Linked DNA regions of Struthio camelus. The protein of the gene in region 2 purifies or fractionates together with the protein of the main gene of each other region. This does not show direct contact. Links are inferred from orthologs where the notes say so. Each region holds a gene or a part of one and is shown on either strand. Other genes may lie near its edges.

Evidence for each region.
Region 1: the proteins of GOLGA7 (region 2) and ZDHHC5 purify together in Homo sapiens (co-immunoprecipitation; 3 studies listed by BioGRID and IntAct, with this or other methods). This does not show direct contact. The link is inferred for Struthio camelus from reciprocal best matches to the Homo sapiens genes GOLGA7 and ZDHHC5.

What each region holds. Positions count from the first base shown.
Region 1 is NC_090946.1:7,497,487-7,504,994, forward strand, and holds the start of ZDHHC5 (palmitoyltransferase ZDHHC5), read right to left. Parts: upstream 3,010-7,508; 5' UTR 2,870-3,009; intron 1-2,869. Other genes in the region: polyribonucleotide 5'-hydroxyl-kinase Clp1, read right to left, coding at 4,149-4,820, 5,994-6,599. UniProt on the Homo sapiens protein: Palmitoyltransferase that catalyzes the addition of palmitate onto various protein substrates such as CTNND2, CD36, GSDMD, NLRP3, NOD1, NOD2, STAT3 and S1PR1 thus plays a role in various biological processes including cell adhesion, inflammation, fatty acid uptake, bacterial sensing or cardiac functions.
Region 2 is NC_090968.1:7,699,508-7,706,817, reverse strand, and holds the start of GOLGA7 (golgin subfamily A member 7), read right to left. Parts: upstream 3,014-7,310; 5' UTR 3,013-3,013; coding exon 2,731-3,012; intron 1,423-2,730; coding exon 1,270-1,422; intron 914-1,269; coding exon 812-913; intron 649-811; coding exon 601-648; 3' UTR 585-600; intron 1-584. UniProt on the Homo sapiens protein: May be involved in protein transport from Golgi to cell surface. The ZDHHC9-GOLGA7 complex is a palmitoyltransferase specific for HRAS and NRAS.

The sequences.
Region 1 (7,508 bases), on a different chromosome or scaffold from region 2:
TGCTCTCTATCGTCCTGAGCCTCGGTACCCTCAACCTTTCACAGCTAAAACCAAGCGAGGCGGCCAGCCCGACGTCGCAGACTCCCCCGTTTTGGCACAGAATCCTTGATTGATGCTTACACCAAAGCAGAAGAGAGTTGCACAATCAGCTCTCGTCTACCACTGATATTTAAGAACTGTCAGAATCAGGAGAGAGAGCAAGAGCGTTCTTAAACCTGCCAACTGAATCAGACCAAATGTCTCACTCTGCAGACTATCAACAGGAGAACACCACTTTTCTCTGCGACCTTCCCTGTCTTCCAGCAAGGAGAGGCACTGATGAGATCTGAAATACGTCCCAGCCAGGACCCACTCTGTCATTTCAATCACAGAACCTGGAGAGTGAGAAGAAGTCAAAGACAAGTATCTTTTTAACATGGACGACACAACTGGATTTCGGTAACAGAGATGCATACCACAACTTAAAATCAAAAGCAAAAATATTCTTGCATTGATAAGAGTTTAACGTCAGACAGCTGGATGCTACGTGGAAAGGTAAATATTAACATTCCCATAGCAACATGAAGCTGCACGGCTTCCCCATATACAACAATTTTCTTATCATCTGTATCGTGGTAATACTGGACTACAGAAGTCAGGCCCTCTTGCGCTCAGCACTGTACAGAAACGTGAGCCCCCCGCCTCAAAGAGACTATTTGGTGACGTTTTCCTGCGTTTAATTCGCAAGGAGAATATACAGTCACGCTGTGTGCTTTCATTGTGGGGAAATTAGGAAACCCGTCTAGAACTAAACTTCCATGGCTTCCCTCATGTTTTCAGGCAAATAGCCTAAGTTTTGCATTATTGCATTTTTGTGCAGTTAGGTGTCCCATTTTCTTCTAAAGGGGAGTAAGAAAACAGAAGAGGGACAAATATTTTCTTCCAGAGAACAGCTAACGAAGCCAGCATCCACTCAGTACTTATCTCCTGGCCTGGCTTATACCACTCCCGTTCTTTTTCTTCTGTCCATCTTACAGTGATTTACACAGGATTAGCCCCGTTTTACAGACAAAGCAGGGAAGTAGGATGCCTCTATGCCTTCAACGCATCCACATCTCATTCAGCGTATCACAGCGAGCAAGGACTAAAGCCCAGCTCTCTTGCCATTGTGTTATCAGAAGCAACCGTCAGGGACTGAAACAATGGGCACAGCAATAGAGGTGTGAATTTCCCAAAATAGGCCTTGTCTAAAATAGGAGTTAAAGGTCTCCTGTTAGACCCAGTCAGCTTCGTTTAATTATCACTGTCACAGCCTCTAGTCAAGGCTACCTCCTACCTCAGAAACCAACAGGAATTAAAGCCCCCTGCTAAAAAACAATTGCTGTCTCGACTGGAAGGCAGAGAAGGTGATAATTAGATTAAGCCTGCTAAGTTGATCCAAGATCAACTCTCCTCATTTGGATCTAGACGAGGCTCTAGTCATATTTTATACCCCAGAAAAACTCCAGGAGCATCAAGGGTAGAAAGCGTGCTTCCCTAAATGCCCCATTTGGGATATATGATGGAGTGAAAACTAGAACTCCTAGAGGAAACCGCTTCCTACGAAGTCACCAGTAAGGCAACGCTATAAACGCAAAAGAAGTCCCTCTTTCCTGCATCAGCAAGATGGGCGGGAGGGCGGAGATTTGGGGGTTTTAATCTCATCTAAGGGAGATGCCACCAAACACACAGAGGCAACAAATTGAGCTTTACACATCTCACATCCATCCTTTAAAACTTCCGAGTAAAAGTCAGGTTGAACACTGGCCAACGCAACCTATTACACCACCAAAAACCACAGAACGTAACGTGGAAACGTGTTTTGAGGCGTAACTCGGATTTAGACAAGGCAGCAGCACACAGAACAGGGCGCTGTCAGAGCCTGAGGTTTTAACTTCTGGCCACTGGCAGGCCACGAGAATCAGAACACGTAAGTCCAGACACCAGGCTGTCAGAAAATAAAGTTGTAGAGACTTTATCAAAGGTATTAGGGCTACTGGCAGCGAGGACGGTCCCAGTTAGAGGACAGCAAACGTGTCCTGGAACGGAAAACTTTCACACGGACGCAACTGTTCCACCCGCTCAGCCAGGAAGGAGTCACTCACAGAATAACGCTGCCTACTTCGAGGGCTGTAACCACGACGGCTCCTAAAGCAGAGGGATCGAAAAGCAAAAGCAACCGATCCCAGCACGGAAGGACAACGAACGACGACCTCCGCCTATCCAGGGGCGAGCTCCGGACGCAGGCAACGGGGGAAACGAAGCCGCTGGCAGGTGCACGTACGCCCGCCGCCCCCAGCCTCTCAAACACCAGCGCTCCCCATCCTCCAGGCCCGCAGGACTCGCGGCGCTACCGCACCCACGGCAGGGCCACCGGCGCGGCCCAGCAATCCCCCCCCCCAACACCCCCAACCCCGGCCGTGGGGGGGGGGGGGGCAACACCTGCCCTTGCAGAGGGCAGCTGGGGGGAGGTGAGGGGAGAAGGGGCTTCAGGCGGGGAGCCCGGGGGGGAAGGCACCGGCGGTCACCGCTGGCCCAGCAGGAAGGCGACATCTTAGCCAGGAGCAGAAGGAAGCAGAGTTCCTGTTAAGGAGGTGCTGCCTTAACCCGCCGGGCCGTTAAGCAGGGGCAGGGGGGACGGCGGAGCGGGCAGGGCCGCCGCCGCCGCCGCCACGGGGGACCGGCTCCGCGGGGGCACAGCCGGCCGGAACCGGCGGAGGGAACCGCCTCGGGCTGCCGCCCCCCCGCCCCCCCCCTCCCCGGGGCCGGGCACACGGCGGGCGAGGCCGGAGGAAAGCGGGGGGAGCGGGGGAAGGGGCCCGGAGGCGGCCGGGGGCCCGCTGTGACTCACCGGGCGGCGCGGCGCGGCCCGGCCCGGCCCGGAGGCGGCTGGGAAGGGCCGCGCGCAACGCTGCCGGCCACGAACCGTCGCGGCGCTCGGCGGCCGGCCACGACGTCACGGGGGCCGCGCCTGCGCACCGGCCGGAAACCGGGCCCCGGCGGCGGCGGCGGCGGTGGCGGCGGCAGCGTCGCGCGCGCCCCCGCCCGCCACACCTCATTGGGCCGCGCGCCGCGGGGAACCGCCTGGAAGTAGGCGAGGGGGGAGAGCGGCGCGCATGCGCGCGGGTGGGAGGAAGAGGGGGGGAAGGTGGTGGTGGGAGGCGGTGCGCATGCGTCGGGAGGGGGTGGGCGGGCGCATGCGCGGAACGTACCACCCTCGCGGCGGGTGGCGGCGCGCACTGCGCAGCTGCGGGGGGGGCCGCCGCTCCTCCCCCGCCGCGGCCCGTGGCACAGCCCGGGAGGGGGGGCGCCCCCCCCATGGCACAACCGAGGGGTCGGTGGTCGCCGTGTCCCCCGCCTCCAGCTCCCCCCCCTCCCCGTGCTCCGGGGGCACCACTGGCCTCACAGGCGCAGGGTCCACACCCGGGGTGGGCAGGGGACCCCCTGCCCGAAGGCAGCCCCGGGGTCTGGGTGCCCCCCGGGTGCCCCGTCTGCCCCTGAGGCAGGGGGCTGCTCCCCCTCTTTGGGGGGGGGGTCTCCCTCCTACCCGGGTCATTAAAGACAGCAGGCCACGGGGGTGAGGGTCATGTTCTTCTACGCTCCCCCCCCTCCCCGCAGAGCTCAGGGGAGTAAGTCGGAGAGGAAAGACATGGCTTCTGCTCCCACCGTCTCCCCAGCCTCAGCTTCCCCCACCAAAGCCTCTCTCTGTTTTATCAGCAGCGCAGGATTCCCATCGCTCGGCCTTGAGCTGCTCTTCTCCTTACCTGCCCCCTCCGCTTTGCCCCACTGCTGAGGCACCGGGACAAAAGTTCACAGGGCACGGAAAAGCAAAAGGCTAGGAAATTTAATAACAAAAGTTATAAAAGGATATTAAAAAAAAGATCGAGCAGCGAGCCTCTTGTATGAGAGGGCTCAGCAGTGCTCGCTGGCACGTGAGAAGGGGAGAAGTGGCCAGACTTCGGGGCCAGAAACCTGCTGGATGAAGAAGAAAGGACACAGGCAAGCAGACAACTTCCAGCCGCGCAGGATGACCCAGCTGGCAGATGTTTCCTTGCTCCCCTGGAAGTCTGAGGTGTGGGGCTGCCCCCTCTGTTTCTCCCGTCTCCGAGGAGACTCCCTATTTTCTGCTTCTACTTCAGATCCATGAAGCGAATGTCCATGATGAGGAGGAAGTTCTTGGGCAGCGGGCGAGGGGCAGGCGACAGCACGGTGAAGACCTGGCGCTCCAGGTCCACGCCGGTGACCACGATGAAGCCGGCCACGCTCGTCTCCGAGATGTTGTCGTCGGGGCTGTCGGCCATGCTGACGCTCAGCAGGTGGTGCACCATGTCCCGCCCCGGCGTCACCGGCACCAGCTTGAGCTGGTTGTCCTCCTGCGACATGCCCAGGGGGAGGCAGGAGTCCGGGATGGTGGGAGCCCCCACCTTGTAGATCTTGACGTCAGAGAACTTGACGTCAAAGGCGTGGGGGTAGAAGCAACCCCGGAAGCCGTAGAAATACTCCCTGATGCGGTCGTCTCGGCACTCCCGCCGGAAGTCCTTGGAGCGCTCCACCACCCCACCGGATTTGGGGAGCAGCACCGTGCGCACAAAGTGGGGCAGGTCCCTCTTCAGCTCGTTGTAGAGCCGCTCTTGGTCCAGCACCACCACCACGTCCACCTCGAAGGCAGAGGCGGCGTGCACCAGCGCCTGGTACCCCGAGCCCTTCACCCAGCCGCACGTGTTGATGACGCAGCCGCTTACCGACGCTCGGCGGTTCACTTCACACCGCTGGTTGAAGACGTCTGCCAGGCGGGATGTGATCTGTGAGGAAGAAAGGGCAGAAATATTAGGACAGAGAGATCTCTTCGGGCACGCCAGGAGCTGAATCCCCCTTCCACCTGTACCCCCTTCTCAGGGCTGCTGCCATTAGGAGCCCCGGAGCAGACAAGATGGCAACACCTTCTCTGGCAGAGGAGGAACAGGGAGGAGACGGGATCCGTTGCTGCTCTGCACTCTGACCCCTCCACGCTTTCCCCAGCTGGGCTACCACAGTATTTCAGCATCCCAGATATCTCCCCTGCTGTGCTTACGCTTGCCGCCTCCTTTGAGATCCTCAAAGCCACAGCACGTGAGTAGGACCACATTGGTCCTGACTGGGTAAAAGGCTCAGGGGAGCAACTGAGAAGCTTCTATCCCCAAACAGCAAGAGACATTGGCAATGACAGACACTTTTTTTTTTTTTTTTTAAAGGAGGACATGTGAGCCTGGTCACCTTCTGCAGTCCATTTCTACCCAGCTCCCCATGCAGCTGTAGGGATGGTAGAAAGTACATCTCTGCCCACCCTTTTTCACATCTATTTATGGGCCTGCTGTCCACGAATGCATTAAGTCCCTCTTGACCCCGCCGATTCTGTCTGCCTCCGCAGCCTGCTGTGACAGCTGTGTACAGAAGAGCTTGTTTTTATTTGCTCTAAACCAATTTCCAGCTGGTTTCATCGGACGTCCCGTATTTCCTCTGTTGCAAGCTGCGGTGACTAACAGTTCCCCGTTTGGCTCACCTAGCAGCTGTACGATTTTGTAAACCCGTCAGACTCCCTCAGCCCTCTCCTCTCTGGACTGAAAGGCTGCGGCCTTCTTAGTCTCTCCTAACACAGCTACTCCATCCCCTTGATACAGTTACGCCTCTCTGCACCTTCTCAAACTTCACAACGTCTTTCTTGAGCAGGAGCGCCCGGAAGCAGGCACGACACTGAAGCGCACCATGGTTTTACGTAGCAGCAAAACAGATCAGAGTCTCCCAGAATAAGTAAGGCGGAAGGGAGCTCTAGCCCTAGCCCTAGCCCTGCCCCAAACAGGGCTGACTACCAAGCCAGATCAGGTTGCTCAGGGTTTAACCTGCAAAAGCCTCCAAAAGCGGTGCAGCCCCGTGCCCGGGCCCTACCGCAGGGCTGCACCGTTCCCAGACCCCCCCCCGGGCCCCCCCCCCATACTCACCTTATTGTACAGCTTGATGTTGGTGCCAGGCGTGGTGGAGCCGAAGTGATAAACCAGCGGGGCCTGCAGGGAGAAGCCCTCCTCCACGTCGGCAGGGCGCTCAATGTAGAGGGCCCCCATGGTGCCGGGGATGGAGACGGAGCCCTGGCCCACGTCCAGCTCCACAAAGGTGGGCCGGCGCCCCAGGCGCACGGCGTAGTTCAGCAGCAGGCGGCACACGGTCGACTTGCCCACGTCCGTGGGGCCCACCACCATGACGCGGGGCCCCCGCTCGTCCTCGCGCTCCGCCTGCCGGCGCATCTGCTCCAGGGCCGTGTGGGTGTTGAGGTAGAGCAGCATGGGGGTGTCCTTGGAGACGTAGGCCACCTCGGTGCGCCCGCTGAGCTGCACGGTGCAGCCGTGCCAGGTGAAGACGGCCACCTTGGCGCCGGCGTCGAAGGTGAACTTCTTGTTGCGGGTGAGCTCGGTGCCGAAGACCTCTGCCATGCCGGTGAGCAGCTCCAGCTGCACCGTCTGCGAGGCCTCCACCTCGAACCGCAACTCCGTCTCCCGCTCCAGCTCGAACTTGGCCACCTGCTTCTTCTCGTCGCCGCCATCGTCCGCCATCGCTTGGCCCTCTGCGGGGCAGCGCAGGCTGTCAGCGGCGGGGCACGGCAGCTCCTTCCCCAGCCCTGCTGGGGGAGCTGCCCCTGCTCCTTCCCCCCACCCAGCCCCAGCTCTGCCCGCACCACCTCAGCGTCCCCGACCCTCCTCCAGCCGGATTTGGGAATCCCTGGCCCGCTCCGGGGGGGGGTCCTCGGCCCATTTAGGGGGCCCCTGCCCGACTCGCGGGTCTCCAGCCTGCTCCAGGGGACCCCAGTCCACTTAGGGGGCCCCGACTCGCCTTGCGAGTCCCCGGCCCGCTCCAGGGGGCCCCCAGGCTTCCCCCGGCCCGCTCCAGGGGGTCCCCGCCCCAACCCCGGCCCGGCTCGGGGGTCTCGCCCTGCCCCAGGCGCGGGGGGGGGGGCACCCCCGTGGCCGGCCCGGCGCCTCCCCCCCCACCCTCTTACCGGGGCGCTCGCGGAGCCGGCGCACTTCCGGCCCCCGCGGGGGGGCGTCTCTAGGCCGCGCCGGAAGTGAGGTCACGCGGGCGACCCCGCGCCGGACCCATGAGGGGGCAAGTCGGAGGGGGCGTTGCCAGGGCACCCGCGCGCGGCGCCTCCTGGGTGACGCGTCCCCCTCGGCGGCCGCGCGGCCCCCTTCCCCCCCAGCGCGCAGGCGCGGCGGCGCGCGGCGCCCCCTGGGAGACGTAGTCCAGGGCGCTGCCCCGCGGGGGCCGATCGCGCTCCCGGCTCATTTGCATATATTTGCATGTCAGGCTTGGGACCTCCCCCTCCCCGCGCGCGCCGTGCGTCACGCGTTCTTTGGCATGCCATTTGCATCTCCTTAGAACGTGCCCGCGGCCCCGTGGGAAAGGCGCCGGGCTCATCTGCATCTCATTTGCATGCCATTTGCATGCCGCCCTCCCTTCCCTGC
Region 2 (7,310 bases):
CTACATGTGCTTGAAACATAGAAGCTTTTACAAGAGATCCAAGCCCCATGTACTTCCGAAAAATAATTTGATGGGGAAAACTGCATCTTTGACAGCAGTACAGGAAAAACATCAATTATTTTTCCTGATTATTTCTGAATATCTTATGCGATTAGCCTGAAATCTGTTCTGAGATCCAAAAGCAACCTATTTTAAAGTCTGCTTTTAAAGGGAAGGCTTAAGGTTCTGAGCAATCTTATGACAGAGAAACTTCAGAATCAAGACTCATGGCTCTACAAGTGAGAGAACAATTTTTGACACTACACAGCACAAGTTAGATTTATATGTATTTACACAATCAAGACCTGTATTTCATTAAATCTAGTATCATCTGAACTTCACTATTATTCAGTGGGATACTGCTAATTATTGCTATTTTTACATCTTCAACCGGTATCTGAAAATCTAATCCACACAAGATTTATGTTAAACGCCTTTGATTACATGCAGTGGTTGCATACACATTCTCCCTCAGCAAGACAGTCTATCCCTCTGAGCGTATAGGAACGGGTTTAGATTGACATGTAATATAAAGTGAATAATACCTTAGACTCCACAGTTTTATCTTCCACTGCTCATACCTCTGTCTTCATAAATGGTAATTTCAATCTGCAGAGAAAGGCCGTTAGGGAAACATACTATAAAAAGATTATGAAAACAAAACCAGAAGCAAGACATTAGAACTACAGAATGCCCTTCTAACTGAGATAAAACGTCAGCGTTTCATAGACGGACAAACCAGCAGACAATCTAAGAAACCACTAAAGGATACAACTCTTAATCCTCTTTCAATAGGGTCTGTCAGAAGGAGGCCCTGAGGAGCATAGATCTTCTCATTCTGTTCCTGAATGAACTTGGCAATTTTCTTTAGAACCTGATAATAGAACAGCATAGAGGTCAGTTTCTTAACCAGTTTTTACTGCATTAGAGTCAGAGCCCCAGCTTTATCACAAATATAACAACGTTAGGGGACCCTAACGTCACAATGCCAGTTTTCATTACAGATAGAAGTTACATGATTCTTCTGGAATTTAAAGCACAAGTCAACACTCAGTTTGACTAGATATCTATCAAGAGGCTTGCCTATATGTAAAGTCACTCTGTAGTAAGCTCTGGTGTCTATATGGAATTGTACAAGAATGGTACAAGTCACAGAAAATCTACCAGGAAACAAATCCTTAACTGAAATCTATGGAATACACTGCCTTCCAAGCAGTAAGGTAGACTTACCTTTTCATAATGTGTTTCCATGCACAAGAAGATAGTATAGGCAGTCAAACAGGCTAGACACCCTTCAAGGTAAGACTGGCCTCCAAGTTTTTCAGCTTCTGCATAAAGGTTATTCAGTGTTCGGACGGTCTCTTCAAACTGCTGCCTATCAATCTGCAGAAGAAGTCAAATTTAACAGTCATGCCCTGCACACTTCAGAACTCACAGATATCATCAGATATCTACCTTCATTTATTGCTCACGTGCACTTCCACACTTTGTCAGTAGCGTCACCTACAAACATCTAAAACAGGTAATACGTTTAGAGCCAAAGTTTGAAGGACACCTTGAATTACAGACCTGCAGTTCTTTGGTAAATATCCGCTAAGCGATTAGATCAAGTCTGAATTCCAAAACAGTCTGAACACAAAGAAATTAGGAGTAACAACTAACTAAACCAAAGGGCAATTCACTTAAAAAAAAAAAAAAGAAAGAAATCCACAGGCAGAGATATCTACTAGATTAAAAAAAAGAGCATTATGTGAATGGATTAACAAAGCTAATTCCTGATACCAGTAATTCCTTGGGGCTTCTACAGTGCTGCTCAAATAAGCCCTCAACTAAACCAACAGAAAAAAGTAGAAAAGAAGAAAAGGACAGTGAGAAAAAGAAAAGGCATTATCAAGGAGTGGTCATTTGGCTATCAGTTGAAGATGTCACGTTTGACTGCAATAAACAAAATTAAAGTACTTGAGACAGTACTTGTAAGGCTACTGAACAGGCTCAGCAGACCTGTCTGGTCTCCACAAGAAAAGTCAGCGTTAATGCATCACAGTGCAACAATGCACGCTTTATTCTCATTGACATAATGAGTGCATTTTTATTTTATTGCTACAAAAGGACTGCTGTTTTCCTCAGGATTAAAGATAGCACAAACCACCAGCGTTTCAAAACCACTGAAAAGAAGCATTTTTGAACATAGATATTCTTGTCAAATTAGAAGCATTTTGTAGCTACAATAAATCACAAGTGACATTTATACAATGAACAACGTTTACATGCCCAAAACCAAAGAATGTGGAAACATTCTTTCAAACTTTGCTTTCAAACTCTGAAAACATGCCCTCTCATGATGTGCATCAGACAGGATCAAGATGAGGAAAAGAAACTGCTACCGTCTTTAAACTTGGAAGTAAACCTGACAGGTCTTAGCAGACCCCCCGTGGGGCGTGACGGAGGAGAGCTGCTCCCCGGCCACCGAGAGGGGCTCCGCTTCCCTCCCCCGCCTAGAGCGAGGGCTGGGAGCGGAGGCAGGGAGGACGAGGAGGGACCTTCCACGTGCTCGCGGGGCTCCGCCGCGCCGCCAGGGCTCTCCGGGCCCCTCCGAGGAGCCCGAGCCGCCGCCGCTCGCTCACCCCCGCCCCCCACCCCGGCCTCGGGCCCGGTGCTGCGGCGAGCGGGGCGGGGCGCCGCCCGCCTTACCCGGTTCTCCAGCTCGGCCGGGAACTTGCTCTGGAACTGGCACCGCGTGCCGCCGCTGTAGTCCCGCTGGATGAACACCTTGCCCGACACGGGCGCCTGCTGCGGCCTCATCGCTCCGCGGCGAGCCGCCGCCGCCGCCGCCGCCGCCGCACTTACGGCTGTCGCAAACGCGTCGGCGTTGCTGAGGGCCCGGAAAGAAGCGGAAGCGCCCGCCCTGCGCATGCACCTCCCCACCCCTCTGGCGGACGGGCCGGGAGAGGCCACCGGGGATCCTCTGCGCATGCGCCTCGCCACGCCGCATCCCATTGGTTGCAGGGTGCCTGCCCCGCCCATCACGGGTCTGTTTCCCCGCAGGCGCGCGCGGCTTGGTGCAGTCTTCGTGACGCACCCCCCCTCCCCCGTCAGCATGGTACAGTCCTGCTCCCCCGCGGAAGCAGATGGATCCTCCTGGGAGGCCTGGTCCCGGGGGGCCGCCGGGGCCGCCGCGCTGGCCGGTAGCCCCGGGAGGCGCCGGCCGCCTCGCCTGCGCTGCGGCGGGTGAATTGCGCTCCGCTTGGCGCGGGCTGGCGTTCGCTCCGGCTTCGTCCGGCGTTCGCGACGCTGATGAGCGGGGATCGTGGCCTCCCCCGTGGGAGTCCCGCTTCTGCCAGACGTAAGCAAGGCCGAAGATCGTTTAGTTGAGGGGCAACTGGAAAGCCGACGCTGGGCCAGCAGCAAGGGGAATCATTAACAGTCTCATCCCAGAATTTTGCACCTTGTCTGGCCTCCCCTCTTCGACTCACGCCGTTGTGACACGCGTGGGAGCGACGGGCTGGGGAAACGCTGCCCAGGCCTGCGGCTGGGCTCAGCGGCCCATGGCTGGCGCGGCCCCAGCAGAGGCCGCTCCCGTGCCGAGCCCCGCGGACCCCGATCTCCGTGGACCCCGATCCCTGCAGACCCCAGGCCCTGTGGACCTTGATCCCCATTGACCCCAATCCCTGCAGACCCCAGTCCCCTTGAACCCTGATCCCCGTGGACCGTGATCCCTGCAGACCCCAATCCCCATGGACCCCAATCCCAGCGGACCCCAGTTCCTGCAGACCCCGATCCCGGCAGACCCCGATCCGGGCAGACCCCGATCCCTGCAGACCCCGATCCGGGCAGACCCCGATCCCCGCAGACCCGAGTCGTGAGCAGCTCCATGAGGATGTGTGTGCGCGAGATGCGCCCACGGCAGCCCGGCCCGAGCCAGTGCTGCAGGGGAGCAGCCCAGCTCGAGGAGGTGTGAAGCGCCTTCCGCAGGTTCAGCTCGTGTGAGCCAAGATTTTATTAGATTGTTGGTGCACTTGTTGGCACATCTGCAAATACACACTGAGCTGAGTGCCATAAAATGCAGAAATAAGCAGAAACATCTCTCTATTGAGGGAATGCTCTGTTTTCGTTAGTTCTTGGCAGTGCTCTTTTTAAAGCACTTCCTATTTTTTCTGAATCTTTTTCATTCTTGCTGAGAAAAGGATTATGATATTTTACAGTGCAGTAATAAACTATTATTATTTATTAAATAAGAAGACCCTGTAAAAAATAAAAGGAGAATTCAATCCAGATGTTATCTATTGCAAGGGCATTGAAATTCCAGATGTTGGTAGTAAAATGTGGTCTCTAATTTGTGTTCTTAGGGACAGAAAACGCTCCTGGCTGAGTAACCTGGCCTTGCTCAGTGTGCCTGTGCTGTTTCACGGGCCTGTGCAGCCCTGGCACGTCTGCAAGCGGCTGCAGTATCTAGCTGTAGGGTTCAACTTTATTCCTCTGCTGAATGCACTTTTCTGCATTTTTATGGCTAAAAGCAAGATTGTAAGCAAATCAAGACGATGGTGTACGTGTTTTATGACGGCAATAAACCAGCGGCTGCGGAGCGGGCAGCTGCGTTCAGGCAGCGGAGTGAAGGGCTCGGGAGCCGTCCAGCGCAGGCGCTTGCACACGGATCACTGACCCGGAAGAAAACTAACGGCAGCATGTTTAGGGCTCTCCCATCCCCGACTGCCTGCCCTGTCCCCTGCGTGCTTCCTTTGGCAGCCTCACGCAAGGCTTTTTCCCGAGGTGCCGCAGCACGTTTGGCACTGCCGCCTGTGCCCCGCAGCCTGGAGGGATGCGGCGTCCTGCCCGCCCGGATCAGCCCGAGTGCTATTGCCCTCGCCCGTGGGGCTGCTTTTCCGGGCCTGGGCCACCACCTGCAGGCACCAGCGCTGCTGCAGGGGGAAGGTCGTTTCATCGCATCTGCCCTCCATGACGATGGCCTCTGTGCTCTGCAACCGTTTGGAAAATTTGACCTAGCCCAGATTTTTGGGCTTTATCTCCTGCCATTGGTCCTATAACTGCTCTGTTCAGGCTGTGCTGAAGAGGGAAAAGCAGGAAATCACCCAAAGAGTGCAAATAAAGAAAAAGCAGGAGGGGACAGGGCTTGTTGTTCTGGACCTCTTTGGCCACGCGCCGGGAGCTGTGTTTGCAGTGTGGAGTCTGGAGAGCAGAGGCAGTTCAGACTTTCTCCAGACAGCCCCTTTGGAGCGTCGTTTCCTTTAAATTTCCAAAAAAGCAGATGTTATTTCTACGTGTCGTGCTGGAAATGTTAGGGCAGCTGGACACCTGAGAGCTTGCAGGTAGGGTGTGTTGTAGCTGCACAGTTAGCAGGGTCTGGACCGGTCCTGGGAGTTTTCCTGGGGGTCCCAGGACTCTGAGACCCCTAAGGCACTCCAAGCCAAGGCAGACCGAGCGCAGACCCGGCGGCGTGCGGCTGCAGCTGCAGCGGCCGTGAACCCCTGCTTCTCCCCGGCCGAGGGACAGCGGCACTCGGATTTCAGGGCAAGGTGGCTACGGGACAGATGTCTCTGTACAGTAATTGGAAAATGCCAGTGGAGAACGCTGCCCCTGCAGGGCATCGCTCTTCAAAGCCCTCATGGGGCTGGGCAGGGACTCTGCCGGGGACCTGCAGCTCCTCAGGGGAATCGCCATCCTGCAGATCACACGGGGCGTCTTTTAAGTGGAAATGACTGTTTTTTCACAATTAGCTGGAGCAGAAATAATTAGGCAGGGCCACAGCAATTGTTATCTTGTACCTGATTGCCAGAGTTCAGTCTGGCAGTCTGAATTACTTCATCCTGCCCTTCTGCTAAGCTTACATTTTCTTTTGCTAAAAAGCTGATAATGTTTGCTCTTCCCATCTAAAGGGATAGGGAAATCTGCATTCAGAGGAGCCGTTCTCGCACCTAAACAGACCTGCGGGAGTTTGCGGGCAAATAAATCACAGGAAAGGCCGTTAGTCCAAACAGAGAATATACAGAGGGTGGCAGACTGGGCCTGGGGGTGTCTGGGTACATGGCACCGGACCATCTTAAAGACCTTTTTTTGCCTGCATTTAACCCTTGTCTTTTTGGAAACTGCTCTAATTCATTCAGGAGGCGGGGCAGGCCGCTGGGAGGGGAAACACGGAGCCAGGTGGAAATGGCTGGTCCTCTCCGGTCATGCGTGGAGCATGGCAGGAGCGAGCTGGGCGTCCGCGGGGGGTTTCTGACACTCCTGTGAATCCCACGTTTTTAGCATTTGCGGTTCCCCCTTTGCACGTTGGCCAGGCCGGGCTGCTTCATTCACATCGCTGCGGTGACCAGCGCAGCGCTGTCCTTCCTCCGCGAGAGGCCTTTCGATGGCTGGGATGAATTCGGTGCCGATGGAGCAGCAAGAGACGATAGCCCCTCTGCCTCCCTGGGGCCTGCCGGGTGCGGAGGGGATGGGGCAGGGCTGCCCTGTCCCCTGCGCCCCCAGCCTCCTCTTGCCCGGATGCACTCCATGCGCTAAGCAGTTTGCAAATCCGATAATGGCACTCCTAATTTGCTCAGGGAAGAGAGAAAAAGGAAAAGAAAAATCAGGCTAGGTGGTGGGTTGCCCTGGGAACCTGGGTATCAGCTGCTGCTGATCACCCTCAAGCCCCGTCGGAACAGCCTGAACTAATTAACCCTCTCGCACTCCATAATGAAGGCTAATAAACACCTAATTGGTTTGCTTGAACAAACAACCTCCGCACAGGCATAGGAAGCGGGGAGCTGCGTGGAGCGGCGCAGCGGAGCGGGTGCTGCTCCAGACCTTCCCGGTCCTCCTCGCGCCTCGGCTGGGCCCCCGCGCCGGCGAGCGCGGTGGCGTCCTGCTGGCTGCCTGGGGCAGGGGCCGCCCTCGGCCGCCCTGTGTCGCGGCGGGGTGTTGCCCCTTCTCCGGGGACCCGGGTCGTGAGCGCGGTGAAAATAAACGGGGCAGATTCCTGCTGTGGACGATGGGCAGCATCCTGGCGCGCGCGTCGCAGCGCGTCCGCAGTTCCTCCGAGCGGGGCTCCTGCGCCGCCGCCAACCAGGTCCTGAAGGAAACGCGCTCAGAAATAATCCGTTTGGAGTACTGTACCAGATGGGCCGCGTTTTCCTAACCTTTAGCTGGTTCCAATGTGCAAGCAGTTAAGATCATAATGTTAACATTTTCTCAGATGTTTTATGTGCATATAAAATATTCTCCAAGAATGTGCTTTTGAATGCAAAGTTTGATCCAATTATGATTTTACTAGAGTT